5 linked regions of the Coturnix japonica genome follow. The protein of the gene in region 1 interacts with the protein of each later gene in a biochemical or structural test. Links are inferred from orthologs where the notes say so. Each region holds a gene or a part of one and is shown in the gene's direction. Other genes may lie near its edges.

Region 1 (6,250 bases):
CATCCTGGTGTCAGCAATGGCCTGGTCCAAAACCAGCTCATAGGTGTCCAGGACAGAAGCTACTGCCCAGCCCAGGCCTGTATGTCACTGCTCAGCTACCACTGGGGTGTGGAAATGCAAGAAAAATTGATTGTCTGCGCTAAGTGCAAAGGCACAGTGATGCACTCAAGGTACAAACCAAACCCAAACAGCCTGGAGGTCAAACTGTTCCTCCTGCTGGGAGGGCACTTTCCAAGGGCTCTTCTCTGCATCCACAGATGGATGCAGGATATCCACGGAGATCAGGACAAGGTTCCCAGTGAGGAATGCAGGACTGCCAGCAATTCTCCATGGTCCTCACTACACCATCCCAGCACACACCAGGGCTCACAGATCTGCTGCAACCACAGCACTCAACTCCCACCCTGAGTCCTGCCCTCGCGCTGTTACATAAAACCTCACAGGAAGAAGCTGAGGATCTGTTTAATGCTGCACTACTGATAACGTTTGCATCTCGAGCTGAAGCTTCAGCTTCCTGGCCAAGCCCCGCTGCGGCTGCACAAACACAGATGTTGCAGAATGGCAGGAAATACGGCTGAGATGCCCTGGGGCCACCTCCGTCACTCTCTGACTGCAGCTGCCCATGGAAAGCACTACTCTGAATTGTCCCCCCTTGGACATGGCACTCGCCCCACTGTATCAGATCTCCTGGTGATAAGAAAACTGCCATAAAGCTGTGATAACAAGGATGTTACTTGTTTTCACAGCAGAGCTTTGCTAACACAGACACTAAGGGCAAAGTATGAATGCATAGTTCTATGAAGGTTCTATGAAGGATCATAGAATCCCAGAATGGCCTGGGTTGCAAAGGCCCACAGTGCTCATCCAGCTCCAACCCCCTGCTGTGTGCAGGGTCACCAACCAGCAGCCCAGGCTGCCCAGAGCCACATCCAGCCTGGCCTTGAATGCCTGCAGGGATGGGGCATCCACAGCCTCCTTGGGCAACCTGTTCCAGTGCGTCACCACCCTCTGGGGGAAAAACTTCCTCTTTTTCCCTTCTCACTGTGCCAAAAAATAGTAAGCAAGATAAGCAGCAGCATATTAAAATAGGGCTGTCCTGACAACCCACATTGATTGGGAGGGTAAACGATATTTGAGTGATAAAAAGAAAGGGTATCCCTTCTTTGTATTGACCCATCCATCTCCTTGAAGTTTGCTTATTGGTTATGACACAAAGCTGAAGTTATCATTGTCTTCCACCACATTCTTGTGACAGCACTTGCACCGTGGCTGGAGGACAGAACAAGCAAACACAGGCTGACACACCATGACAGACACAGCATCACACGCTGGTAGCTGTGCAGCTGGTGAGGGAAGCCATAAGGAGCAGGCAGCTCTGCGGCCAGGCCCAGCCAGCAGCAGGCCCTGCAGCCATCTGCAGATCTCCTGAGCCTCTAATCACTTTATAGCTCTAATTACTTTATGCTCTCAAGGCTGGAGTCCCACGCTGGCAGCTCAGCAGGACGTCCTGCAGGGACACAGCGGGTGCTGCCTCCTGCAATGTTTGCCTTCAACATGAACAGGTCGGGCCCTCCCAAGGACCTGGGCAAGCCTTGAATTCTTTAGCAGGTCGGTGAAGGCCAAGCCCTGTGAGCAGGGCAGGACTTGGGGTCACCTAGAACACGCTCAGGTATCGCGAGGGCTTTATGTGGGTGTTTGACCTTGAGGATCAACCAGCAGCACGAGAAGTGGAGCTTTATTGAGGGTGTGTGAGGTGCCAGCACTGCTCCAGGTGGGGCTGTGGGCTGTGGGTGCTCATGGTGAGCTCCCATTACACCCGCAGCGCTCCGTCCCAAAGGCCTTAGCACGGCACGGCCAGCAGCAGCTCCGAGCTGCGGTGCTGCCCATGGACACAGTGCGGGCTGTGTGCAGCCATGTTAGTTCAGAGCAGCCACGTGTGGAGCTGGGCAATGACACAGAGCAGCCGCCCAGCTCCATAGCGACAGCCAGCACCGGGCACGGGGCTGAGGGCCTGACTGGGCCTAACAGCCAGCACAGCTCCCACATCTCAGCTCTCTAACCGCACACCGCCCCCCATATCCGCCCGGTCCCTTCCCGCGCTGTTCGTGTCCCTTTAAGACGCTCCCGGTTCCCTCTGACGTGCGATCACGTGACTCCTCTCCCCACAGCAGCCCGGCCCCGCACGCATGCGCACTGCGCCCCCAGCCGCCCCACCCTCTTTGGGGTCACGCTGCGCGGCCCGCAGTGCGCATGCGCGGCTCCCCCCGTCACCCCGCGGTTCCCCCCCGCTACTTCCGGTCCCGCCGTTCCTCTCCTCGCACGTTTCCGCCCACGCGGGAGGGCGGGGCTCCTTCCGCCCGCTCTGCGCATGCGCGGTGCCGCCCCGAGGCCGCGCGGCGGGAAGCTCTCCGCTCCCCCCGCCCATCGGCGGCGCGTGCGCGTGCAGCGGGGCGGGGCGCGGTGCGCATGCGCGGTGCGGGCGGAGGGGAAGTGATTTGGGCAGCGCGGCGCCTTCCGGCGGTGCGGGCTGAGGGAGCGGCGCGGAGCGGAGCGGAACCGGCTCCGAGCGAGGCCGGCCCCGACGGGACGGAGCCGCGCTCCGGATCTGCCTCGTCCCGGCCCGTCCCGCCGCACGTGAGCCGAGGAGCCGAGGAGCCGGGCGGAGCCGAAGCGGGATCCGGGCTGACCCGCCCTCCGGGACCGGCGGGCGAGCGGGGCGCGGCGTCGGCGCGGCCCTCGGACCCCCCCGCGTTGGCCGGGCCTTCCTTTCCTTTCCCCCGGCCGTTCCTCCGTCCCGCTCCCCCGGCCGCCGCCCCATGCTCGGTTCCCGCTGAGCCGCGGCCCCGGCCCCGCTCGCTCGGGCCGCCCGGGGGCTCTCGCCGCCCGCACCTCCCCCTCCCCCCGTCCCCGCCCCGCTGCAGGCGCCGGGCCCTTGGATGCCGCCGAGATGGGCAAGGTGCTATCCAAGATCTTCGGCAACAAGGAGATGCGGATCCTGATGCTGGGGCTGGACGCGGCCGGCAAAACCACCATCCTGTACAAACTGAAGCTGGGCCAGTCCGTCACCACCATCCCCACCGTGGGCTTCAACGTGGAGACGGTCACTTACAAAAACGTCAAGTTCAACGTGTGGGATGTGGGGGGGCAGGACAAGATCCGGCCCCTCTGGAGGCACTACTACACGGGCACGCAGGGCTTGATCTTCGTGGTGGACTGCGCCGATCGCGACCGCATTGACGAGGCCCGCCAGGAGCTGCACCGCATCATCAACGACAGGGAGATGCGGGACGCCATCATCCTCATCTTCGCCAACAAGCAGGACCTGCCCGATGCCATGAAACCACACGAAATCCAGGAGAAACTGGGCCTGACCCGGATCAGGGATAGGAATTGGTACGTGCAGCCCTCGTGTGCTACTACAGGGGACGGACTCTACGAAGGGCTGACATGGTTAACGTCCAATTATAAATCCTAATGAGAGTAACTATTTAGTCTACAAAGAATTAAAGAGAAAAGAAAAAAAAAAAAAAAAGAAAGAAAAAAAAAAAGAATAAATGACCCGCCCGGCTTTCCGGAAGAATGATTCTCTACAGAAAAGTAAAACAAAAGCATCCATAGGATTACGATCACCTTTCTCCAATGACCACCCTTTCCTTCTCCACACCTGACTGGATTCCTGTTTTAACTCTCCTCGCTTGGCGTTAGGATGCTCTAACCTCCGAATGTGACACGAACACGAGCACTAGATGCTATGGCAGACCTCGGCAAACAGGGGAAAGACACATTGTAGACTTGCTAAGTAACTTTATTTTTCTCTCTCTCTCTCAAAGCCCTTGAGATGGTTTGGTTGTTCTGGGGCCGGCTGGGGGAGGGCTGCCGTTCTCAGTGTATGCTTTTCTGGTTCGACTTTTTTGATGATATTTTTTGTTCCTCTCTCACTTTGCTGTAGATTGCTACTCTTTTGCCTTCATGCGGAATATGTTGATAGGTCGACTTCATCTAGTAAACGGAAAACTCTTGCTTCAAATCAAACCGCAGTCTGTCTTTTTATATTAAGGACTTTTTGTAAAGTTCTGTTAATCTGTAACTGAACAGTGACTCTTGGTCTGGCTCCGTATCTCAGCCTCGTAACGAGACCAATTCCTGCCCGCGGTGGCAGATAGGAATACCATTGTAACACGTTCAAAGTGCATATCAGGCATCGTGTTCACTAGGTAATGTAAGAACTGCTTTGAAATGTCAGCTGTGAAGTTCTGAACCATACATCATGCATGAGAAGGGATGCAAATGAGTTCCCCATCCTACATGGCGACCATATAGCGAATAAAACACGAATGATGTAATCATAGTTCCAGGGTAGATACTGTTCCGTTTCTGTCTTGCATTGCCAGTTTAATGATGTTTAGCTGCAGTTTTTACTCCTTCGGTCAGTCTCCAGTTCGATGTGAGACAGGTTCCTTCCAGCAACACGCAGCAATAACCTGCAAGCGTTGCAACAAGTTTTACTCCAAATTGGCGGGTTGGGGCAGAAGTCGAGCACTGACTTGCCTGCCCCGGGATGAAGGCAACGTTGCTTCATCCTCGGGCCTCTCGATCTTAAAGGATTTCTCACTTTTGGCATCACCTTAAGGCATCTAAATCTCCACGGGGTTTCTCATTTCTGAATGTGTGGCATGGAGAGAACAGACAGAGCCCGGCTGCTCGAGCTGCGGTTGTGCAGCGGGGCTGAGCTGAGGGCTGAGTTCCTGCATGGCCGTGCAGCGTCGGCCCTGAGTTGTTGCTGCAGTGCTGTAGGAAGGGAACCGTGTTGGCTGTCTGAAACCCATTGAGTAACTGCCAATGAGAGCGGGGTGGAGAGAGTGAGAATACGACTATGAATGTAAACTTCCATAATTAGTTCTTAAAGGGCAAGCAGCTCATTCGCCGTGCCACAGCCTGCAGGTGTGGCTGGCAGAAAAACCCCACCCAGAGCCAGTAATGAGTGTGAGGTCTCAATCAAGTGTTAGTGCTGGCCGCAAAACATACTAAAGCAGCTGGTTCTGATTCAGCCTTAAGGATTAACTTCAGATTTCCTCAAGGAGTTAAACTCGATTGGGGAATTCTAGGAATGTATGCTACAAAACCAGAAGAAAATGGCTTTTTTTTTTTTCCTCAAGGATATAAGTTTGATGTGAAATTGGGGCATTACGCTACGGTTGTGCAGCGTTGACTCTGTGTGCAAAGTCCATTGTGTATGGAGCTCTTACCAAAGATGAATGGGAAGATTAACACACACATACAAAATAACGCTGAATTCACTTCTGGAATTGAATGTTTTGGACCATGTCGAAGTAACTTTGGACCATGTCAAAGTAACTTTGGACCATGTCAAAGTAACTTTGAATCTGGTTCCAAACAACGTATATCTCTGTGTGGGGTGTGAGTGGGACCGAGTGGGTTCATGGTGCTGGAGGATAGAGCATTGACTGGGAGCCCTGCTGAGCTGAGCTGAGCCTGGTGTCCAACCACTGCAGGCTCAGTTGTGGAGGAGGGGGGAGCTTCCCACCTTATTGCTGTCCGAGTGTCACTGCTCTATTTTCCAGCCTGTAAGGCTTGTTTTGTTCCTCTGATGTAACTTAACCAACAGTGTGGCGGTATAAAGGTTCAAATGCGAGAATACGGTTTTCTGTTTTCTTCTGGAGCATAAATAAAACAGCCAAGCACAAAGTAAACGCCTAAACTGGAAAACTTGAAGCTCTCTCAATGGTTCTTGAACTCTTTCAAATCTCTTCTCAGTCCAAATGCAAATGTCCATCACTCCATTCCCGTCTCCTGGCCAGGCTTTGCATTGCCTCACATCCACCAGTTTGTGCTCTGTTGCTTTTAGACGTTCTGTTTGGGCAGGAGAAAGGAAACTGATTTGTTCTCTTCTTTTGTCTTTCGGTTGTTTGGTTGTGGGGTTGTTTTTATTTGGGAGGGGGGTGTGTGGAGGGAGATAAAAGCGACCGGAACGTGGTGGAGACTCCACAAAGCAATGGCCATTGCTGCCCAGCACCTCCAGAGCTTTCACTTTCACAATGTCCTCGATAGGACGGAGCTGCAGCTCCCCACAGGGTGAGGTGCATCCAGAACACAGTGATGTTACGAACCCAGCCCGACAGCGGCCATTTGTGTCCATGTGAATCTATGGAGTGAGTTTGGAATGGCGTTAAACTGTGTCTGATCAGTGAATGAGTTTGTAGACTGTGATCTCCCTGACGAGTAAACAGGA
Region 2 (5,539 bases), on another chromosome or scaffold:
TATGAAGATGCTTTGTTCTCCTTATTCTTTCATTATTTTCCCTGGCTTATAAATGTCAGTAATGCTGGTGAGAATATAGGGTCCTGCCAGTTACTTTGCTTTGCAAAAATGTGTGGAGGAACTAATGACTGCCTTTAGAGTAAAAGCTGGCAACCCCTTTAATTTTTTTAATGAAGTAATTCAAACTTAAAAATTCCCTTAACACCAACATCTTACTTAGACCTCCACTTATAGAGAAAGGCTGCAATAAATACTGTGGGAGTTAAAAACTGGATGGGAACTAATTCTGCCTAATTTTTACTAACATTTACAGAAGCAAAGCTAAATATCAGCTACAATACCATAAGATATTTAAGAATTACATGGATTATGACTCACAGTTCAGCCCCTTGTAGGTGATTAATATAGCAGACCTTTCTTCTCGTTTGTACTGAAATCATTTGCAGCACAGCTCGCGTAGGAAAAAGCAGCAGCCTGTGTGTTCAGTGTCAATATTGTCTGGCTGTTATCATCCCTCAACTTTGAGAAATGAGTTTTCCAGTAGCAAGTGGCTATAGTCGAAATAGAAGCCAGACAGTGCCAGGAGAAAAGTGAGGTTGTTTGCAAAGGTTTCTATAGCTGCATGGTTTCAGGAGTAGAGCTGTCTGAGTGCAAGGCTGTAACTTACGAGAGGTTTCATCCAGCACACTGGAAGTTTATTTCCCAGTTTCCACATTTCTACATGGTGCTGACATCGGTTAGCGTATAAGGCTGTGATTCACTGCACTAATTGTGCAATCACTCCAGCATCTGGAAAGGCAGTGTAAAGCTGCAGAAACCATCCATTGCATAAGGTGAACATAAACCCTTCCTGACACTGCCTGCCTCCCTGAGACAAGCAACAGGGACTCCTGCTGGCCAGGTTCTGCTGCCAAGGAAACCCCAAAGGGCCCGAAGCCCCAATGGATGGGAAATATCTGGGAGATGAGGACTGGCATTCCTTCAGGCAGTCCTGCAAACCTCCAGGATGTGGGCAAAGCAGGAAGGCAGCCCACAAGCAGCATCAGAGAGGCAGTATCACATGGTGACAGAATGGAAGAGAATGGCTTCAAGGCATGCCAGGGGGGTTAGAATGGATACTAGGAAGAATTTCTTCATGGAGTATGTTGGTTGAGCATTGCAATGGGCTGCCCAGGGATGTGGTGGAGTCCCCATTCCTGGATGTATTTAAGAGATGTGTGGATGTGGCACTAAGGGATATGGTTTAGTGATGGAATGTAGCTCATAGTTGGACTGGATGACCCTAAAGATCTCTTCAAGTCCAAATGATTCTATGGTTCTATGCCATCCATAGCAGTAATCCCTAGTCAGAATAAGGGATCTTTGTAACAATGAGGGTGCTCCACCACTTGCTCTGCAGCCCCTTGCAGGGAGATTCTGACAAATTTGCTCAAAACAAAGATGATTTATTTCCCTAAACCTTATCATTATTGTGTGCAATTCCCATTGGGGTTCCTTGGTCAAATGTCCTGCCTAACAGAGGCCAGGCAGACTTTTCCATCTACACAACAGCTCCAGCCTCCCACTGAAAAGATATTCTGCAACACTTTCACATTATCCAGGAAAGGTGAATATGCCCACAGAGCAGAAAACATGGAGTTGAGCAGCACTTTTTCCCACTCAAACTTGTTTCGGAACATCTCTTGGAGATTTGCCCCATGGCAGTATGGAGATGCTGTTGGGTTTATTGGCAGATGCTTCTTACCTGCTGAAGCAGAAAGACCAGGTGCTTCAAAGGGCTCCTGATGAGCTCAGAGCTAACTCTGAGGCCTCAGCTGAGGTGCTTCTGACAAGGTAGGACAGTACACAAGTCCTTCTCAGCAATCATGCCTGCCTACAGACTCTTTCCATAGTCCTTCTTCACTCAGTTTTCCCATATCCCTGGTTACCAATCTTGGCCAGCTTCACTTCTCCACCTCCTCTCCTGAAAGGCCTTGGGATAAAACATTTATTTTCTTGATACTATCCAGGTACAACAGGAGAAAAATCTTTTCTCATTCCAGGTGTTATTTGCCCTTCCTCTCAGCCTCTCAACCTGACAATGCACAGATGCACAAGCATCACTTGCCTCTTCTGGCAAGGTTTATCTATAGAAAGCTGCCTGCCCCTACACCATCCAGGTTTAGAGCAAGGACAAGAAGTCTGGAAGGTGTGACAAATCTGTTCAGAAAGAGAACAGGTGCACGTTGTTGAGTGCAAAAGTAGTTTATGCCTTTTCCCTGTGCAAACTATCCTGGCTTCACAGAGAGGCTGCTAGGAAGACATGCTTCTGAAATCCAGCCCTCACTTAATGCTCTCCAGAGACTGGCTTCCTCTTTGAAAGACCAGGAAAAAGATAAAACTTGTCCATAAATACCGTATGGCTTATTAGAATCAGTCACATTACAGCCAACCAAGAGCACCAGGAAATAGGACTCCACGGTGCTTAGAGAGAGTAAATGTAATTAGGCACAGACGTAACTCCTCTGCCTCTAATCCTTCTGTTGCAAACTTGGTTGTAATGTGTTTCCAAATGAGCCAGGCACTGCCTGAAAAAATTATATCTTCACACAATATCAGCTTTACCATTGTCCTATGCAACACACTCTTGGGCAGCTTGGGTAATATGCTAAATTAAATCACCAACAGACAAGGGAAGGTTAACTGCAAAACATGCCCCAAGAAGACCTACTGGTGGTTCCTTAGGACTAGAAAGGACCTTAGAATGATGGTCTTGCTTAACTTGTGCCTGCTTAGCAACTTGGATAGACTATGAGCTTGTACGATTTTCTAAAAGCCCAAGGTAGGAGAGGCAACAAGCACTCAGAGGAACAGGATCAGAATCATCAATCCAAAAAGAGAAAGTCTAAAATGAACAAATAAAATTTAGAGAGGATAAATGCAAAGTTATCCACTTAGAAAGAGATATCAAACCAACACCTGCTGGGGAAATTAGTCCAGGCTTCAGAATGTTGAAACATATCTGACTGTCAAAATGAATCATAAGCTAAGTATGCATCATAAGTATGATGCTTTTATACAAAAGGCACTCATCATTCCAGGTTAGATAAGTAAGAGCATTCCCTGCAAGACCCATGAAACAGTTGGGAGGCCTTCTCAGCAGCATGAAGAACAGCATCCAGCATTGGTCCCTGCAGTCTTAGCAAGATAAATTAAAAAGATTCTGGGGCAGAGAAACAAGAGGCATAAAAGTTCTGTAAACATCATCTGCAAGCAGAAGATAAAGGAACTAACTGGCTTTGCTTAGTCTGGAATAGAAAAAGATAGACAAGACGTGATAGCCATCTTCCAATAGCTTTCAGTAAGGACAGTAATCAATTATTCTTCATTACCAGTGGAAAGAATAAGGAAAAAGAAAGGCTTAGTTTGCAGCAAAGAACATGTAGGATTGATACTGATAAACTCTAGCTTTGGATCGCTGTCTCTGGAGTAGCCTAACAATATTCACTGATGATATTAGAATATCCTTCTTATCTAAATATGTGGAAATAAGTTACTTAAAGGTAGGTGTCACAGACATTAATGATATGTAACTAAGCATATTTCCTTCTCCAGCTGCCACCAAATCTGAAGTTTCAGTTTCAGAACTGAGAAGACTTTGTAGATCAACAGGCATTAATAACACAGTAATCACACTAATGAAAAATTCTAATGGAAAACTGAGAAATTCCACACTTGCAGTGACAAAATTCTTTCTCCTTCCATAGATTTGCTGCCAATAATTCTTGATTACAATATCAAACATTAGGAGAAATAGAGAAATTGTCAGACAGCTTCCTTACTGCCAGCTTGTCCTAGGAGTACATGTGCAGTCAGAAAAATGCTTCACAACAAAAGATGTGACTACATCACATTATAGCTGATGTCAACTTTCTTTTGTGCAGGATACACATGGCCTCTGCCTAGGAAGCTCTGTGCCATTTGGATCTACTTGGACGTGCTTTTCTCCACTGCCTCCATCATGCACCTCTGTGCCATCTCATTGGATCGTTACATTGCCATTCGAAACCCCATCTACCACAGCCGGTTTAACTCAAGAACAAAGGCTTTTGCCAAAATAATTGCTGTTTGGACCATATCAGTTGGTAAGTGAGCAATATTGCAGTATGTAATTGCTGATTTCTAGCTTTTGAGATGCTAAGACAGATACACATCTCAGTCTAAAACTGTGTTCTCTGACTGCAATGCTTTTCTTGCCACAGCCACAGAAGTGCTGTAACATAGTAATTAAGCAATATACAATCAGTAATGACAACATGAAATGGAGTTGAAGCTGAGCAACACAGTTATAGAAGGAATAAACATCTGCAATAAGACTGTTAGGTTCAGTTTTGTCTTAAAAATGTTTTTATTTCCCACACTGATTATCCACCATTGCCATAACATCTGAAAACAAAAAAATGATATTGACTGAAAAGATTTCCCTGTAAGTGCATTGACAGCAAACTTATTCACTCACTGATCTCACTGCAGCCTTCCAGTACCTAAAAGGAGACTACTAACGGAAAGGGAGTCAACTCTTTACAAGTGTAGACAATGGCAGGACAAGGGGAAATGGTTTTACGTTGAAGGAGGGAAGATTTAGGTTGGATGTCAGGGGGAAGTTCTTTATACAGGAGAGTGGTGAGGTGCTTGAACAGGCTGCCCAGAGAGGCTGTGGATGCCCTGTCCCTGGAGGTGTTCAAGGACAGGTTGGATGGGAAGCCTGATCTAGCATTAGAAATGGAAGTCAGTGGCCCTGCCTCCATTGGTGGGGGTTGGATCTTGATGGTCCTTGAGGTTCCTGGCATCCCTCTCTCAGCCCAGTGTGCACTCCAGCATATTTCTGGGTTAGAATATCTGAATCTTCTGCAGAACATCAAGTGATAGTGGTAGCTCTCTCTCAATAGCAGGGCAGTTGTGCACTCTCCAATGTAACCCAGACCTAGTGAGGTCCAACAGCATCACATGGGGCTCATAGCATGTCCATCTGACCAGATGTAGATGTCTTGCACATGACATATGAACACCACCCTAAGAACACCTAGCTCTCTGTAAACTACACAAAAAGCCTAGGCCAACTAATTCTGCTGCAGATGTCTCCCTTTAGATGACATGAATCATACATTATGTTTCTATAGCCATAGAATCATAGAATGATACCCTCTGTACACCATAGTCCCTCTGCTTATTGATCCAGTAGAAAACACATCATCATCTCTGTTCTTTCTTTCCCAGTCTCAGGCATTGCTAAGTGTAAGCATTCTCTGCACAACATAAAAAAGTGAAGCATTCATTAAGTTTGTCTGTACTGCATTTGTTGGTATTAGTGTGTGGTGCCTGCACTAACAAAGTCACAGAAAGATCAGAAGGAGCAAATCAAGGGTCTGTGCACCTCAGCAGTTTTCTGTAGACAGTGACTTGCTAGCAGAGCTTCTGAATAAGATCACTATTTAAATGAATTTAGAAAAAAATCTATTACTTAAGCCCTTTTGGTTAGGATATGGTTTATGTCCTACAG
Region 3 (4,686 bases), on another chromosome or scaffold:
CTGCTGTTGTTGTGGCATAATGTGGGGATTCACAGCACATCCCACTGCAGCAGGAGGGAGCTGCTCCCAGCCAGGAGACCACCAGTGTGTCCCACCAGCTGCAAATAGGGCCAGAACTCAGCTGTCCTCTTCCTTTTGCTGCAGCTCATTGAGGACCTCAGGAAGCAGCTCGAGCACTTGCAGCTCTTCAAACTGGAATGTGAGCAGCGGCGAGGCCGGAGCAGCAGCATGGGGCTGCAGGAGTACAACAGCAGGACAAGAGAGACGGAGCTGGAGCAGGAGATTAAGCAGCTTAAGCAGGTAGGTGAGGCTGGGAAGGGGAAAGAGTCTCTGCAATCGCTCTGCAATAAGAGATGCTGTTTCCCCTTTTGCCTGCCTCCTTGCTTGGTGGGGTTCTCCCTCCCACGAGCTGACGATGGATGCAGCATCCTGCTGCTTCTTGCTCCCCTGTGCAGGGACAGGGAAATTCAGATCCTTCCTCTGAAGTGCATTATGTGCATGCAGGATCCCTGTATGCTGCATCCCCTAGACCTGCCCCATGTTTCCAGAGGCTCTCCAGTCAGAGTCAGCAGAACATGTGCTGTTCCCAGTGCCTTGCCAAGCCCCTGCCTTCCCCAGCCACCCATTGGGGTTGGACAGGTGTGTTTGGGTTACCACGCAGCACCTGACATGTGGTTGTTGTGAACAGGATAACAGGAGCCTGAAGGAGCAGAACGATGAGCTGAACGGGCAGATCATCAACCTGAGCATCCAGGGAGCCAAGAACCTCTTCTCAGCCTCCTTCTCTGAATCCCTGGCGGCCGAGATCAGCTCAGTCTCCAGAGATGAGGTTTGTGCACAGTGAGCTGCTTCTTTCCAATCGTGTCTCCCTGGGGTACCTGGGGCTTCCCCTTCCCACCCAGCAAACAGGAGCCCATGTGGCCATGGCTGCAGCACAGCTCGCTCCCAAACCTCACCTGAAAGCTGTCATGAGACAGAACGCAATGATTTAAAGAGCATTTGGGACTTGCCCTAATTCATGGGAATAGGGGAAGCTGCTGCCTTCCAATTTGTGGCTTTGCTTTGCCTTCTCTTCCTGGGCTGGACCATCAGTCACATGTATGTGTGTGTGTGTGTGTGTGTCTGCCTGTCTGCAGCTGCATTTAAAGCCCAGCAGCTCGGACTGTCCTGGAAACCTCAGGTCCAGGGGTGGGGGTGAGCAGGGCTGTTGGCTGAGGGCATGGAGACACGGATCGGTGCCCTTTTCCCATCCCCAAACATTAATGACCACTTCTCCCTTCTCTCCCTCGCAGCTCATGGAAGCAATTCAAAAGCAAGAAGAGATCAACTTCCGCCTGCAGGACTACATTGACAGGATCATCGTGGCCATCATGGAGACCAACCCCTCCATCCTGGAAGTGAAGTAAAGGGCGGCCGAGAGCCGCAAGCTGCGCACTCTGCCATGGCTGTGGATTTGGTGCTCTGAGAGGAGGAAGAGGGACTCACAACGTCTTTGCTCTTGATGAAGGCACAAGGAAACGTCGCGTCGGATCGGTGCTGAATCAGCCGGCGCAGCAGCGGGGCAGAGCGCCAGCAGTGAGGCTCTGTTGTCTGACTCCGTTATTTTTTGCAACCCTTCTGGCTTCAAAGGGCGAAAGGGAACCTGGAGGAGAAATGGAGGCAACAGGCAACTGCGGGAAGGATTTGGGTCGGCCCCGCACGGGTGTGAGGAGGGATTCCTCTGAACTGCAGGGACCGGGATGGAGCAGGAACGTTTCCCCCCCCACTGCCCTGCCCAGCTTTGCCAAAGTGTCCATGACACACTCACTTACTGGGGCAGATCTGGGAAAGAGGGAAACACGTCCTGGACTTGTAGAATGATGATGATGATTATTATTATTTTTTAATTAACTTAATGCAAATGTCTTCATCCAGCTGGCGCAGTTAATCCTTGCCCTGCTGCTTTTGCTTGGGAACGGGTGGCGTGCACAGCTTCTCACTTGCTGGTGGCACGAAGAGGGGAGCGGCCATCCTCGGGACAGGGTGTGAGTGCAGTGTCACCCACCTCCTTATTTATTTCGCTGTCTGTGGCTCCAGGGAGGGACGCTGCTGTGGGGGTCCCATGGCAGAGCCGTCCCCTCCATCCTGCCTGCAGGGATTGGGGCAGAGGTTGTGGTGTGAGGGCTGAGCTCTGTGTGCTGTCCTGGCTGTCCCAGCACGGAGCGGGGCTCTGCCAGTGATGGCTGTTGTCCCAGAGGGAGAACCTGCTCCTCACGCTGTGCTGGGGAAGGGGTGGCTGCACTGAGCTCTGAGCACACAGCATCACCAATCCCTGTGCTGCAAGGGGCAGGAGGGCTCTGAACACAGTGCCAGCTGGCTGGGAAACAGACCATGCTCACAGTGGGCAGCTCATGGTGACCACAGCGAGGTGCACCCACGGGAGCAGCCACTCATCACACTGCCCCAGGATCTGGCACCTTTGCTGCTGCACCGGGCCCATGGAGCAGCTATTTCTGCTAACCAAGCTCCAGAAACATCAATACAGCCCAACAACAAGGGAGAAGCAGCCACCCCCTAAATGCTTCCGAGCGCATCGCTGTGTTATGGGTCAGCCAGGGGCTGTGCCTGCAGCTGAGCCCGGAGCCGCCGCCGTGTCCCAGCACTGTGGCCATCTGACACAGCCCTGCACCCAGCCTGGGGACGGAGCCACGTGGTGTACATTTATGGAGAAGCTTTGGGTGTAAATCAGTGTATACATGGAGAGGGAAATTTTTCTATCTTGTAGAGTAGGTATTTTTATAGAACGAAGGTCGATCATTTTTTTAACACTTTAAAGAAGAGAGAAATGTATCTGTGTATAACACAAAACCATATATATATATATATATATATGTGTATAAATATATAAATATTGGAGATCTGCCTTTCTCGACTTGGGGTCGTCGATCCCCAGTTCCTACAATCGTCTTTTTTTTCTCCTGTTGCTCACACAGAGGTACTGTAACTGTAAATAAGCACCAGGAAAAAGGTTTTAAGCAAACAAAGCACTGACTTGCACATTCACCATGCTTTAAAGCCCCTACGAAACAAACAAAAACAAATCCACACCGACCTGTCCTTCCCAATAAACCTTCCTCTCTCCCCGCCGGTATGTGAAGGAAAGTCCCACAAGGGTGAAAGCAGTATTGTCTTAAATGATGTATCGATTCTTGTCCCATTAAATGCTGTTACCATTCCTGTCATCGACCTTTCCTTGCTGTTGGCTTTAGGGTCTGTGGGGTGGGATGGGGGGAGCGGAGGGACTTCCAAAGCCAGCGCTGTCCTTGTCCCCTATGTTGTCCTGCTGCCCTATGGGGATGTGGGTGAGGACATGGAGTTCCCTTTACCTGCAGCCTGCTGGGTTGCTGTGTGAGCTCCTCCACCCACTCCACTGCCATAGAAATCCTACTCTTGGGCATGGAAATGCCCTAAAACCCTCTGCTGAGCTGTGCACATCTCTCTGCCTCCCCTGAGCCCCCATAAGCTGCCCCAAAGGGCTCCAAAACCCCCTCTGAATTGATGCAAACTGCTCCATCCCGCTCCTGGCTGCTCCAAAACCTCCCCGAGCATCCCTAAAGGGCCTGAGCAGCTCTGAAACATGCCAGGATTATTTCCTCTTCTTAAACAAAAAAAATATCCTTTAAAATCAGCTCAGCACTTTGGGGAGCCCCAAAAGGCCCCGAGTGGTTCCAACCCTACAGATCCAGGGCAGTACTGAGCACCTGGGCTGCTCCAAGAGCCTCCCTTTGTGTGGCCCCAAAAGTGCTCCAAGCAGCTCTCAGGCTCCTCCAAACTCTTCTGAAACTCCTTGAAATAGCTGAAAGAAATATCCTGCAGCAGCTCGAAAGCACTCCAAGCCTTCCTCTGAAGGGCCCTGCGAGGTCTCAAGTGCTCCTGAGCCCTCTGTGAGGCCCCTGAAATGCCTCCAGACCCTTCTGGGATCCCTCCCGTCAGAGATGCTGAATGCTATGGACCTTTTCCAGCTCTGCTGCAGAGATCTCTGTGTTCCAGTGCTCCCCGAATCCCCCTGGGGTTGGTTATGGGGCCGTATCAGCAGCCCCCAGTGTTGGGTCCCTGCACACCACCATGCCATAGGAGAACCCTAAATGTCATTAATAAAAGTTTACCCATCATGGGTTTATGGCTTTGCAGTGCAGCTGTGGCTCCGAAGCTCACTGAGGGCTGCAGGAATTGTCCTGGAGCGCTGCTCGCTGCTACATGCTCAGTGTGGGACAGTTGGACCGGTTGGTCCATCCCCGTGGGTGCTCCTGGATGCAGGACAAGGATGCTCTGGGACAAGGACATGGATGCTCCAGGATGCAGCACCAGGGGATCCAAACGCCCGGTAAACCCCAGCACTAAATGCACAGCCTGAAATTCGTACTTTTCTCCTCTTTTCCAAGCAGGAAATCGCTGCGAGTACAGAAAATCCTCACTCCCCCCCTCCCCCCCAACCCCTAAGCTTCCACCCCCCAGCAGCCAACAGAGCCAAGCCGAGCGCTGGGAGAAGCCCTGGGGGAGAGGGGAGGGGGGGGAGGGCAGGTCAAAGACCCCTTTGCTGCCCTCCTGGGGCCCGGGAGGGGATCCCCAGCTCTGCCCGTGGCTTTCAAGGGTGATGGAGGAGCCCCCAGTGACGGGAACAGCGGCGATGGGGCCGGAGAGGACAGG
Region 4 (5,515 bases), on another chromosome or scaffold:
TACTGCAGCCACCCCAGCGCCCCATGGTGCGACACAGCCTTTGAGTCCTCCTGTCTCAGGCTTAGGGCCCGGGCTTAAGGCTCCCGTTGTGTGCAGTGTTTCTCAGGGTCAGTTTCTTGCCCTGCTGTGGTGGGGAGCAACCCAAAGCAACCCAGACCCAACCCATGCCTCCCCCAGCAGCAGAGTCTACTCACGGTTCTTGTGCTGGGGGCACACGTGGCACTTCCAAACCACAGTGCACCAGGCAATGAGGCCGAGCTGTGCCTGGCTGTGGGATGCACTGTGTGTCTGCCTGGCCTCTCCTCCACCTCTACCATGCCCCGGAGCACAAGGAGTATTGCCTAGCACAGGAGCACCAGGGCCATTGGTGTGCAGGGCTGTCCCTGCCAGCAGCTCTGCAAGTGAAAGGGGGAACAGCATCTCCCATGTGGGCAGCAGCCAATGCAGTGAGCACCAGGGCCTTGGTTATCAATGTCTAGTAGGGTTTTGGGGGCCAGATTCTGTGCTGCAAGAGGCCAAGTCCTGCTGCTTGCAGGCAGGTGACAAATCACAGGACACTGAGGGCTCTGTTGAGCCTGGTAGCAGTGCCTGACTGGCAGGGGGGAGCCGCTGCCTGCCTGCATCTCATGGGGCTGCCCAGGGTGGATCTGCCTGCACCAGGAGTCTGCTCTGCTTGCACTTCATCAGGCCGCAGTGTGGCCCTGGGAGCAGCAGCCCTGAGAGCACTGCAGTGTGGGGTGGGCAGCCTGGCCTGCATCCAAGCCCTGTGCTGAGCCTCACTGCTGTGCTGTGTTCCAGGCTCTGGGCTTCACCAGCCTCATCCCAGCCCACCGGTCGGAGGGGAGGAGGTTGTTCGCGGCATCGCTGTGGAGAAGTTTGACATTGTCAAGAAATGGGGCATCAACACATACAAGGTACGTCGCATCCCTGGCTGATCAATACATACAAGGTATGTCACATCTCTGGCTGTGCAGCAGGGCAGAGAACTTGGGCAGGGGACAAAGGAGCAGTGATGGATGGGGAGCACATCTCGGCACCAGTGCAGCAGCCCTACAGGGATGGGAAGGGACCAGGCCCTGACACCCCTTCCCTCTGCTCTGCCCGCAGTGCACCAAACAGCTGATCTCAGAGAGGTTTGGCCGGGGCTCCCGCACGGTGGACCTGGAGCTGGAGACACAGATTGAACTGCTCCGGGAGACAAAGCGCAAGTACGAGTGTGTGCTGCAGCTTGCACGGGCTCTCACCAACCACTTCTACAGCCTGGTGCAGACACAGCATGCCCTGGGGGATGCCTTTGCGGACCTCAGCCAGAAATCTCCTGAGCTGCAGGTATTCCTGGTGGGGCTGTGGGTTGTGCCTTGTCTCTGCTCTGCCTGGGGAGGAGACCCACAGTGACCCTGGGGTCTCTGCAGCACGGCCTGGGCAACGCTCTGCTGGTCAGCACCGCTGGGCACGTGAGGGAAAGCGGGAGGAGGCTGAGGGCAGGTGCACTGTGTGATTGCTGTGGGGCTGGGGAGAGGTGTGGGGCTTTTGCTGCTGGCTTTTCCTGGGCACAGCTGGAGCAAGGCTGGGTCTGGGCAGTTGGAGGAGGGCAGAGACACAACGGGATGTGCTGCCGCAGCCCCTCACCCACCTCCCTCCCTACTGCAGGAGGAGTTTGGTTACAACGCAGAAACACAGAAACTGCTTTGCAAGAATGGTGAAACACTACTGGGAGCTGTTAACTTCTTTGTATCCAGTATCAACACGCTGGTAAATAAGACCATGGAGGACACGCTCATGACAGTTAAGCAGTACGAGACAGCCAGGTAGGACGGCAGTGTGGCCCGCAGGTCTGGCTGCAGCTATTGGAAGGAGGGACTGCTCTGCAGCTCTTGACTTTTGCTGTCCCTGCGCAGGCTGGAGTATGATGCGTATCGCACAGACCTGGAGGAGCTGAGCATGGGCCCCCGGGATGCCAGCACCCTGTGCCGGCTGGATGCAGCGCAGAGCCAGTTCCAGAGCCACAAGGACAAGTATGAAAAGCTGCGAGCCGATGTGGCCATCAAGCTCAAGTTCTTGGAAGAGAACAAGGTGGGGAAGGCTGCGGGGCACAGGATGGGGCCCTGTCGTGCACGCGTGTCCCTTGGCCCTGCCTTGCAGGCTGCGCTGCCTTGCTGCTCTGTGCTCAAGGTGCGTTTTTGGGGAGCTGTGAGGGGAAGAGCAGGTGAGCTGCCACGCTCCTGCCTTCCACCCGCAGTGGGTGGTCACCTCCCAGCTGGCTGCTGCAGCTCTGTGCTGGGCAGACCTTGTCCTGGCCCATTCCTGCCGTCCCGAGGTGCTGGGCAGTGGGGCTGGGTGGCTGCGTGTTGACTCCTGCTCTCCCCAGATCAAGGTGATGCACAAGCAGCTCCTGCTCTTTCACAACGCCATTTCTGCCTACTTCGCTGGGAACCAGCAGCAGTTGGAGCAGACTCTCAAGCAGTTCAACATCAAGCTGAAGACCCCTGGTGCTGAGAAGCCCTCCTGGCTGGAGGAGCAGTGAGCCCCCCAGCCTGCCCCACCTTGTGCCCCAGCCGGGGAAGCCATGGACCATAACTGGGACCTCTGACTGCTGGTGTAGGGCCAGACCACAATCACGAGTGGTGAGCTGGGGATGCAGCCTCGGCCCTGCTGCTGCGGGGGGCACTAATGGGGCAGGGACCCGGTTAGGGGCAGGTGGAGCTCTGAGTGGGTCACTCCCCCAGCCCGTTGGAGTCCCATCCTGCCCAGCCCTGTTCTCCCTCCCCAGCGCTGACCCCTTGGTGGGATGGTGGATGCCTTCCCAGGACCCCGTAGGGCCAGACACTCCCCTCCTCAGGCTGGGCTGCTCAGACCCCACCAGGCACCTTTGTGGGACAGGGTGGGATGTGCCACAGCCCCCCACTGTCTCCCCATGGTGCAGCAGGGTACGTAGTTCCACGTGTCCCAGCTGCTTTCCCTGAGCCAGGCTTCGCAGGGCTGGGCAGGACGTGCCACCACCTCTGGCAAAAAAAATGTATATTTTGAAATGAAGACAAAGCTGCACAGGGGTGGCCCTGGGGCTGCTGGGTCCCCTCCTGGACCCTGAGAGGGGTGGATGAGGTCCCAGCCCTGGTGCAGCTGGTGCCCGGGGCTCCTGTCTGCTCCTTGCCCCAGACCTGCCCCGTCCCCTCTGGCTGATCCCTGGTGCTCCCAGGCAGCTGCTCTCGCACTCCCCCAGCCTGGCTGGTGCCCCCATCCCCACACTACACTCCCTTTGGCGATGGGGTGGTTGTGCCTGGCTGTCTCCCAGGCCGCAGCTCCCATCCCCTGGCCGGGGCTTTGCCAGCTCCCACGGGTGGACGCAGGAGGGTTTGGCCGCGGCCCTTGGGCTGAGGGCTGCTTTCCCCAGGGCGCTGTGCTCCCAACCCTGGAGGCAGGTGGGCAGCCCCACTCCCTGAGCACCCACAGGCACCTCGAGGGGTGGTGGGGACTCAAACCAAGGACCAAAGGGTGGCTGCATCCCAGGGACGGTGCATGTGCGTGTCCGTGTGCGCTGCGGCTGCGGCTGCGTCTCCGCGTGTGGCAGCGCTGGGGCCCTGCCCGGTATCCCAGCGTGGGGACAAGCTCATCCTGCTCCAGCTGAGTGTTGCTTCGAGCCCCGGCCACGTGCAGCACTTGGGCACTTTCTCCCGAGACAAGACGGTTTGTTTTTCTTGCTAATTTAATTCCTGGTAATTTAATGTCTGGATCTGACAACCTCCCCCCCCCCCTTTCCTGGTGAAGGCTGTAAGACTCCAGAATAAAACAGTATGGATCAGAATAAAGCAGTACAGATCAGAATAAAATAGTGTGGATCAGAATCTTGTGGTGTGGATCCCTCTGTGCACGGCACAGACAGACCTGAGACGGGGATTCCCTGCATGCCAATGGCTCCCCGAGGCCCAGAGCTGGTTCTGCTGCTGCAGTTCTTGTCCCACTTCTCCCTCTGTGGGTCTGGTTCCGTGTGGGGCCCAGCATCAGGGCTCGCCCTATTCCCCTGCCCACCCCAGGGTGCTGCTTTGGCTGTGGGTGCCGTGTGGCCGATGGAGCCCTGTAAGCACCGGGGATGAGGGGGACCAGAAGAGGGGAACGAATTGTGTTACCATCTCCAGCATCGAGCCGAGAGCGCCCTGGGTCGGTCTGACACCGGGTTTAACGCCATCAGCGGGAGCTTCGTAGCGCGGCGGAGCCCGAGGCTGGATGGGAGGAGCACAGAGGGGAGAACGGATCTCGGAGCAGGACGGGGGGAGCCGGGGGGGCTGTGACCGGGGGAGGGCGCGGGGCGTCCAGGTACCGTCGGGTGCGGGCGGCGGGAGCGGTGCCGGGTCGGTGTTTTGTCCCGGTCCGTCGCTGCCCGGCGCGAGGTGAGAACGGGCGGAGGGGCCCAGGAACGAGCTCGTGTCGAGGCCGCTGAGCCGCCCCGCTCCGCCGGGCTGGGACCGGGGCCGGTACTCGGGGGAGCGGCGGATCCTCCCGGGGCGGAGCCGAGGCGGGGCGGGGCCGTTCGGGGCCGTAAGAGGAGCCGGGCGGCCGCGCTCACCCCCCACCCCCCGCCCCGGCCATGGACTCGCAGCGCAGCCCCGCTCCTCCGCCGCCGCCGCCGCCGCCCCCGGCGCTGCCCTCCCCCCCAGCGGCCGCGCGGGGCGAGCGGCTGCGGGCGCTGCACTGGGAGCCGCTGTCCGCGGCGCGGGTGCGGGGCCGCCGCTCGGTGTGGGCGACGAGAGCCCCCCCGCCGGCCCTGGACCTGCCCCGTCTGCGGCTGCTGTTCCGGGAGCCCCGCGGAGCGTCCCCGGGGCAGCGCCCGCCGCCCGCGGTGAGATGCGGCCGGGACCCCGCGTCCCCGTTACCGCGCCCCGCGCTCTGACCGCGCCGCACCCGCAGGCAGCGCTGCTGGAGCCCAAGCGGAGCATCGCCCTCGGCGTCCTCCTGAAGCAGCTCAAGCGGTGAGCGGGGCTGGGGGCACCGAGGGTCCGGGGGCACAGAACGGGACCGTAACGGAACGGGGGCGCGGCGGGGGGCTCGAACCTTTCGAGAATGTCCGTGCTCCTCGGGGGTCCCATCGCTGTTCGTGGGGGGGTGGGAGGAGGGGGATTGAGGCTCCGTGCCCCTCGCGAAGCGCTGACGCGCCGTCTCAGCCCGGTGCGGCAGATCGTGCGGGACATCGAGGAGGGCGTCGGGGCGCCGTACAGCGCGGAGCTGCTGCTGGAGCTGACCCGGCTGCTGCCCGGCGCCATGGAGGTGAGTCTGGGGCTGGGGGAGCCCCCGGCCGCCCCCTCTGACCTCCCGCTTCCCCGTCCCCGCCCGCAGGTTTCCCGGCTCCGCGCTTTCTCCGGCTGCCCCCAGCATCTGTCCGAGCCCGAACTGTTCATGCTGCTGCTGCTGGAGGTGCCCAGGTGGGAGCCGGGGGGGCCGGACGAGGGGTCGGGGGGGATCGCCCCGCTCACTGCACGCCCCCCGCCCCCCGCCCGCAGTTACGCGCAGCGCCTGGAGCTGA
Region 5 (6,079 bases), on another chromosome or scaffold:
CGGCTCCTCCCGGGGCGGGGTGTGCGGAACTGGGGCTCGGCCGCCGTGATGCCGCCCGTCGGAACCACCCCGGGCTGCTCCGGGACCGGCCGCTGCTGTTCGGCCTCGGCGTTTCTCCGGGGCTCGGCCCGACTCGTTCCCGGCGTTGGGCAGCGTCAATGACCGCGTTGATTCGGAGTCGTGCAGGTGGCGGCCCCACCACCAGCACCGTGTGTCGGTAGGGAGTAAATCCCGGCTGGCGGCACAGCTGTGTCCCCCCGTGTCACCCCATCCCCGGCACGGGGCGGCTGTCCGGGATCGGCCCGTCGGGGCGCCCCGGTTGTCCCAGCGCTGCGTCCCGGACTGTGCCCGGCCCAAGGGTAATCCCACAGCACCGAGGGATTACGGCTGGCGCTGCCCTGGAGGATTAAGGGATTTCTCTAAGCGGGGTTGATGCGGGCTCTGCAAAGCGGCTTGTGCTGGGGGCCCGCGGCTGGGGCAGCGCCGGGGTGGGCTGGGGGTGGGCAGCCCATTGCCAGCCCTGCTGTCTGGGTAGGACCCGGCAGGTGCCTTAGTATGGGGTCAGTGATGCGCTTTGGAGGTGGTGCAGCCCTGCAGCAGGCAGCGGGGGCTGTGGGGACACGAGGGGGTGAAGCTCTGTGCATAGTGGGGCTGGGGTGAGCACCAGGTAGTGTGGGACTGGGGGCAGACTGAGCTCAGGGGGTGGGGATAGTGGGGCTGCAGAGCATGCAGTGTTGTGAGAAAGGCTGTTAGCCAAGGTAGAGCAGAGCAGAGCGTGACGAGCAGCACTGCTGACACACAGAAATTGCATGGAGGCTCAAGCAGAGCCACACATCCCTGAGCTGTTGTTTCAGCCCACCCATGGCTCTGGGTGCACAGCACAGTGCCCTGAGCTGGGGCTGCAATGTGGAAGCAGAGACTGAGCCACAGTTGGTGCAGCTGTGATTATTGCAGCCCATTTCAAGTGCCCGTGGCTGCCCTCCCTGCACAGGCTCCCCCTGGCCCAGCCCTGTGTCCCTGCAGCTCCTCACACCTTTCACCTCTGCAGTGAGGAGGAGGCAGAAGCTGTTTGCTTCCAAGGGAAGGGGAAGCAGCACAACTCAGTCATGGAGGTGATGAGCACCTGTGAGCAGCCGTTCCCATCTCCTTCCCATCCATCCACAGCTGCTCCCAACACCAGGGTAACTCTTGCCTGTCCCCAGCCATGCCCCCAAGGTCCTGTGCCCATTCCCATAGCCCTTCCCCATCTGGATGCTATCTGCCCACCCTGGGGGTTCTCCAGCTCAGCCCATTGCAGCAGGCTCCCAGCAGCAGTCAGGACCCAGTACCAGGTGCCGTCTGCAGGACACGGCCTCATGCCCCGACAGGCTCTGCAGTCTGTTACTCACGGACGTGCCCCACGCTGGGGAATCACTCCTGCTCGGAGGAAGGGAAGGAGCTGTCTGTCCGGTTTGGGCTCCCTCGCTGCCTGTGGGGCTGGCAGGTTGGGGGCCGGGTGCGGTGGGGCTGAGTGCTGCCCCCAGCCCTGCTGGAGGCCCATAGCTCGGGCAGAGCCCCAGCTCCTGCTGTAGGAGCATCCCGGCTGCCAGGGCCTGGAGAATCATCTCCATCACAGCCATGATGTGCCAGCTCCAGGCTGCCCGCTCTGCATTCCCAGGTGCCTGAATCCATTGTGGCCATACTGGGGAGCAGCGTTCCCCTGTTCCCCACAACTGGGGGCTCCCCACGCCAGCTCCAGCCCGTTGTGTTTCTTTATGCACCTTCCTTTTATGCAGGGAAGGTTGCTACGCAACCAGCGGCTCTTGATGCTTAAAGCTCTAATACGGTGGGATAAAACCGCTCTAAAAATACCCCCGCCGTCAGCCACCCAGGGGCCGGGGCATGCAGGGGGGCAGAGGGGGGGCAGGCAGCCTGATACCAGGGGTGCTGTTGGGAACTTCCCTACTCTACGTCCTCCAAGTGGCTTTGAGTGCCCAGGAACACAGCAGCGTTCGGTGCCGGCACGGAGCGGGATTGGCTGCGACCGGCGCGTGGGCTCCTGCTGCTGGAGCCTCCCGCTGCCAGAGCCGCCTTCCCCTGCTCCAGGAGGAGCGGGGACACCCGGGGCAGCCCCAGCTGCAGGGAGCTGCTGTGCGGTGCCCTCCTGCCCTCAGCCTGCCCCGGGGGAGCCGGCACTGCGCAGCATGGGGACGGTCAGCGAGCTCTGCGCCTCCAGCTTCCAGGCCTTCCTCTGCCCCTCCGTGGCCACCACGGCAGGTAGGTGCTTTGTGCCCCATCCCTGTCCCCCCCAGCAGACGAGGTGCCCGTAGCTCTGGCTCCATATGGCTCATGCTGACAGCAGCACACAGTCCCAGTTGTCTTGCTGTCTCCTTCCACCGTGCGCTGCCAGGCTTGGGCCCCCCTGGGCTCTGGGTGCAGCTTGTATTGCACCACATTGCTGGGATGGGGAGCCCATGGGAGCACAGTGGGTTCACGTGGCACAGTGAGATGTGTCCAGCAGCTCCTTGCTCTCTTACCCCAGCGCTGCTGCGGGTGATGCCCTCACTGCTGCCCTACTCGGAGCAGGAAGGAGCATGCGTGGCTGTGAGCACAGCTCCAGCCCACGTCCTCCAGACAAAACCTGGCTGGGGCACCCTGACGCCTGCTGTGTCACAGCTGCCACCGTGGGCTGGCAGTGCCTGTGAGCTGCTGTTGTCTGTCTGCAGGCTCCTGCTCCCGAGCTGAGACCTGGGAATAGAGAGTAAGCAAGGAGCACATGGGGTGCACTCCTGGCACTCTTGCAGGACGTGGGGCTGTAGGAAGGCATAGCACAGTGAGGATGGATGTGGCTCCGTTGTGTGCCCCTGCTGTACTCCAGCCCCGCAGCCAGGATGGGCTCTGTGCTTAGGGGGTGCAGGAGCCTGGAACTGGTGGGCTGGGTTCCTTGCTGGGGGCAGGGCTGCTCCAAGGGGCTGAGAACCCCCGGCAGCTCTCAGCTATGGGGTGGGGTTGGGGGATTCTATCTTGGAGCCGCCCTATGCTGTGCTCCTGACGCACCTCATCTGTCTGTGGGGAAGAACAGGGCTGACGCAACCCAGGATGTGCACACAGCACAGTGAAAACAGGATGTGGTGCACTGGGGCAGCGGCAGGAAGTTTCTTGGGGCCCCTCAGCAACCCCCCCCCCCAGCAGTGGGGTGCAGCAGGAGCCCCATGGTGGAACCCACAAGCAATGCCCTGTGGTCAGCAGCCCCTGCCCTGGGCTGGGGCATCCCTGCGGTCTGTTCAGCTCTGCTTGTGGATGGAGCTGTGCAGCAGGAGGGCTGTGTCCCTGCAGCACAGCGTTCAGCTGGAAGGCCAATGTGAGCCTCTTTTTAGCTCCTTCTTCCCTGAGCTTTCCTGGGAGATGCTCTGGATGCTGTTTTTCCATCACACGCTGTGGAGCAGGATTTAGCTGAGTCAATGTGCCGGAGCTCTTGTGGTCTCCCCGGGCAGCTGCAGCGGGACAGGACCTTGCTGAGGGCTGTGCTGCTGCAGGCACGGCCCTATTGCAGGGAATGAGAGCAGGTGGTCCTTACAGCCTATACAGGCCCTGAACCCACACATGGGGGGGGGGATATGGCTGGACAGTGCCAGATCTTCAGGGCAGGGTTGGGGCTCTGGATGGGGTGGGAGAGGGGTCCCTGGTGTCACCGCCCTGAGCTTGGGACGTGCTGAGCCGCATGCATCCTGGCAGCCCCCGAGGAAGGAAGGGCCGGGCCAGCTCCAGTGCCTGCAAGGATGGGTGGGCGGCAGTGACCCTGGGGGCCGAGGAGGGGGCGCGGGGCTCTGGCTGCACAGGAACCGGGTGTTGCTGGTGCCAGTTCTCAGCCGGGCTGCGATGACGCCTGGCACAGCGCTGAGCTCATTGGCCTGGAGCTGCCCTGACTCACCCAGGAAGCTCTGGGAGGGGGCAGCTGTTGGCACCCCAAAGAGCAGCACCTCTGCAGCACTGTGCAGACGTGGGCAGCGGGACACAGCCCAGCAGGATGGTCCTCGGGGTGCAGGGCAGCGGTGAGCAGATGGGCCTGCGTGGGGCAGTGGGTGGGAAGGAGGCACGTGGGGCTGAATGCGATGCAGAGGGGCTTTGTGTCTGTTCAAGGCATGGTGTGAGCGGGGTATTTGCTCCTTGAATCCAGGATGGAGCCTTGCCATGCTCCTCACTGCCCTGGGGGTGAGGCAGCAGCTCCCCTGCATTGCTCTGCAGAGGTTGGGGGGATGGCTCAGAGTATTGGTGCTCTGTGGTTTGTGCTGAGAATCCTTGCACCCAGCATGGCAGCCTGGGATGATAGCCTGGCATGGGATGTTAGCCTGGCATGGGATGATAGCCTGGCATGGCTGCTGGATTTGGTGTTCTGCTCCAGCCCCCTCTTGCAGCCTTGTGCAGGCTCAGAGGTTGCTGCAGCTCCACTCGGTGCTATGGAAGGGTTAACGCCTGCGTCCTTCGCTGAGAAAAGCTCTGCGTCTGGGGTTTCTCTTCCTCCTGCTGCTGCTGACACGGCTGGGCCATGTCACGAGTGCTCTCCCAGCACAGCATCAGGCAGGCTTGGGGGGGGGCTGGGCTTTGTGGCTGCTATGAGTCCCTATGAGCCCCTTGCCCACACTGCCCGGGGGTGGGCAGAGGCTGTGTTCCCCCAGGGCTCTGTGCACCCACCGTGTGCCAGCACCGCTCTGTCGCTGCTGCAGCCTCCCACCCATCCACCCACCCTCTGTGGGCCTGGGAGGGCTGCGGTCTGGCACGGAATTTCACCTCCCACGCAGCCCCACGCTGCAGCTCCCAGCAAGCTGCATCCTGCAGGGTGCTGGACACAACTGGACCGGGGAGGCCGTGCTCCGGTGGGACCGACTCCATTCCAGTGCTAGGGAGGGTTTGTGCAGCCTACGGAGCAATGCTTCTGGCATTGTTGGCATAGATAGAGTTCAGAACCTGGTGCTGTAATATTGGGAAGTGTTCCATCGAGTCCAGAGGGATCGTGTCGCAAGCCGAGGCTGCTGCTGACCTTTGCAGAGGGGATTTCTCTAAAGGAGGAACCTCAGCAGAGAAGGCGAGTGGAATGAGGAAAGTGCTGAGCTGGGACATTCGGTTCGTGTGAGCGCAGCCACCCCAGAGGCACCGTGAGCCCTGGAGAGGAGGGGGGAACTACGCTGGGAACGGAGAGCAGACGGTGCTGGGGTGTGAGAGAGGGGATGGAGGGTCCTGGCTGTTGGGTTGCCAAGGAGTGACAGACTGAGGTGGACCTGGGGCAATGCAGGGTGGGATGGAGGGGGCGGTGGGCACCTGGGGACAGGTGGGGGGAGGATGGTGTGGGCTGCTTTGTGGTGCGGGCACCGATCTTGGAGCCTTGGTCGTGGCCTTGTTGTAGGATGTGAGCTGGAAGGTGATGGTAGGGCAGGGGTAGGCGGGGGCTGTGGGGGTGACCTTGGGAACAGGAGCAGCGGGTGCCACGTAACCGCAGAGCGGGAGGTCACGGGCTGGGGAGCTGCAGGAATGTTACCCATGAGCTGCAGTGTGAGGGGGGGCAATGGGAGCGTGTGGCTCAGCCCCGGCTGCTGTGGGCCAAGCAGGGCAGCCAGGTGTCCCCCCGTGCAGTGATGTGTGTTGGGGTGCATTGGTTCACCCCTGTTCCAGCACAGAGTAGGCACCAAGGGTGGCCTGGAGCCAGCTCTCTCCAGGGTTTACCCGTTGTGGATGAACATTGCTTGGGTGGCTCTAAGTCCCATTGTGGTGCCATGGCCCCGGTGAGCATAGGGGCCAGGGGCTGCAGTGGCACCAGGGGCTGGGCCAGAACTCACTTCCTCAGCTTATATCAGCAGGAATGTGGGGGCCAGGCTCCCCCCAGCCGGGGAGCACAGTGTCCATTGCATTCCTTGCGTGCTGCTGGGGGTGCTGGGCTGTGTGCAAGGCTGGGGCTCACTGGATCCTCCAGCAGCACCACGTGCCAGCTGCTGGCAGGAGCCTGGAGTGAGTGATTCCTTGTGCTGTCCCTGTCCCTTACAGTGCCCAGTGACCTGACCCCAGAGGAGTGCCAGGAGCTGGAGAACATCCGCCGCCGCAAGCAGGA

The links.
Region 2: the proteins of ARF6 (region 1) and HTR2A form a complex in vitro, tested with the Homo sapiens proteins (2 studies listed by BioGRID). The link is inferred for Coturnix japonica from reciprocal best matches to the Homo sapiens genes ARF6 and HTR2A.
Region 3: the proteins of ARF6 (region 1) and RAB11FIP3 form a complex in vitro, tested with the Homo sapiens proteins (2 studies listed by BioGRID). The link is inferred for Coturnix japonica from reciprocal best matches to the Homo sapiens genes ARF6 and RAB11FIP3.
Region 4: the proteins of ARF6 (region 1) and ARFIP2 form a complex in vitro, tested with the Homo sapiens proteins (2 studies listed by BioGRID). The link is inferred for Coturnix japonica from reciprocal best matches to the Homo sapiens genes ARF6 and ARFIP2.
Region 5: the proteins of ARF6 (region 1) and CYTH1 form a complex in vitro, tested with the Homo sapiens proteins (2 studies listed by BioGRID and IntAct, with this or other methods). The link is inferred for Coturnix japonica from reciprocal best matches to the Homo sapiens genes ARF6 and CYTH1.

The regions. Positions count from the first base shown.
Region 1 is NC_029520.1:52,348,734-52,354,983, forward strand, and holds ARF6 (ADP-ribosylation factor 6), read left to right. Parts: upstream 1-2,460; 5' UTR 2,461-2,947; coding exon 2,948-3,475; 3' UTR 3,476-5,719; downstream 5,720-6,250. UniProt on the Homo sapiens protein: GTP-binding protein involved in protein trafficking that regulates endocytic recycling and cytoskeleton remodeling. GTP-bound form plays an important role in the transport of multiple palmitoylated proteins form the Golgi to the plasma membrane.
Region 2 is NC_029516.1:150,665,068-150,670,606, reverse strand, and holds part of HTR2A (5-hydroxytryptamine receptor 2A), read left to right. Parts: intron 1-3,923; coding exon 3,924-4,124; intron 4,125-5,539. UniProt on the Homo sapiens protein: G-protein coupled receptor for 5-hydroxytryptamine (serotonin).
Region 3 is NC_029529.1:11,462,022-11,466,707, forward strand, and holds the end of RAB11FIP3 (rab11 family-interacting protein 3), read left to right. Parts: intron 1-144; coding exon 145-300; intron 301-688; coding exon 689-829; intron 830-1,292; coding exon 1,293-1,406; 3' UTR 1,407-3,221; downstream 3,222-4,686. UniProt on the Homo sapiens protein: Downstream effector molecule for Rab11 GTPase which is involved in endocytic trafficking, cytokinesis and intracellular ciliogenesis by participating in membrane delivery. Recruited by Rab11 to endosomes where it links Rab11 to dynein motor complex.
Region 4 is NC_029516.1:174,021,556-174,027,070, forward strand, and holds the end of ARFIP2 (arfaptin-2), read left to right. Parts: intron 1-798; coding exon 799-914; intron 915-1,107; coding exon 1,108-1,329; intron 1,330-1,650; coding exon 1,651-1,808; intron 1,809-1,898; coding exon 1,899-2,073; intron 2,074-2,368; coding exon 2,369-2,524; 3' UTR 2,525-3,766; downstream 3,767-5,515. Other genes in the region: FH2 domain-containing protein 1-like, read left to right, coding at 4,583-4,834, 4,903-4,964, 5,157-5,414, 5,493-5,515. UniProt on the Homo sapiens protein: Plays a role in constitutive metalloproteinase (MMP) secretion from the trans Golgi network. May have important functions during vesicle biogenesis at certain cargo subdomains, which could be predominantly utilized by secreted MMPs, such as MMP7 and MMP2.
Region 5 is NC_029533.1:4,597,870-4,603,948, reverse strand, and holds the start of CYTH1 (cytohesin-1), read left to right. Parts: upstream 1-2,052; 5' UTR 2,053-2,183; coding exon 2,184-2,256; intron 2,257-3,726; exon of another isoform or gene 3,727-4,006; coding exon of another isoform or gene 4,007-4,031; intron 4,032-5,115; exon of another isoform or gene 5,116-5,190; intron 5,191-6,015; coding exon 6,016-6,079. UniProt on the Homo sapiens protein: Promotes guanine-nucleotide exchange on ARF1, ARF5 and ARF6. Promotes the activation of ARF factors through replacement of GDP with GTP.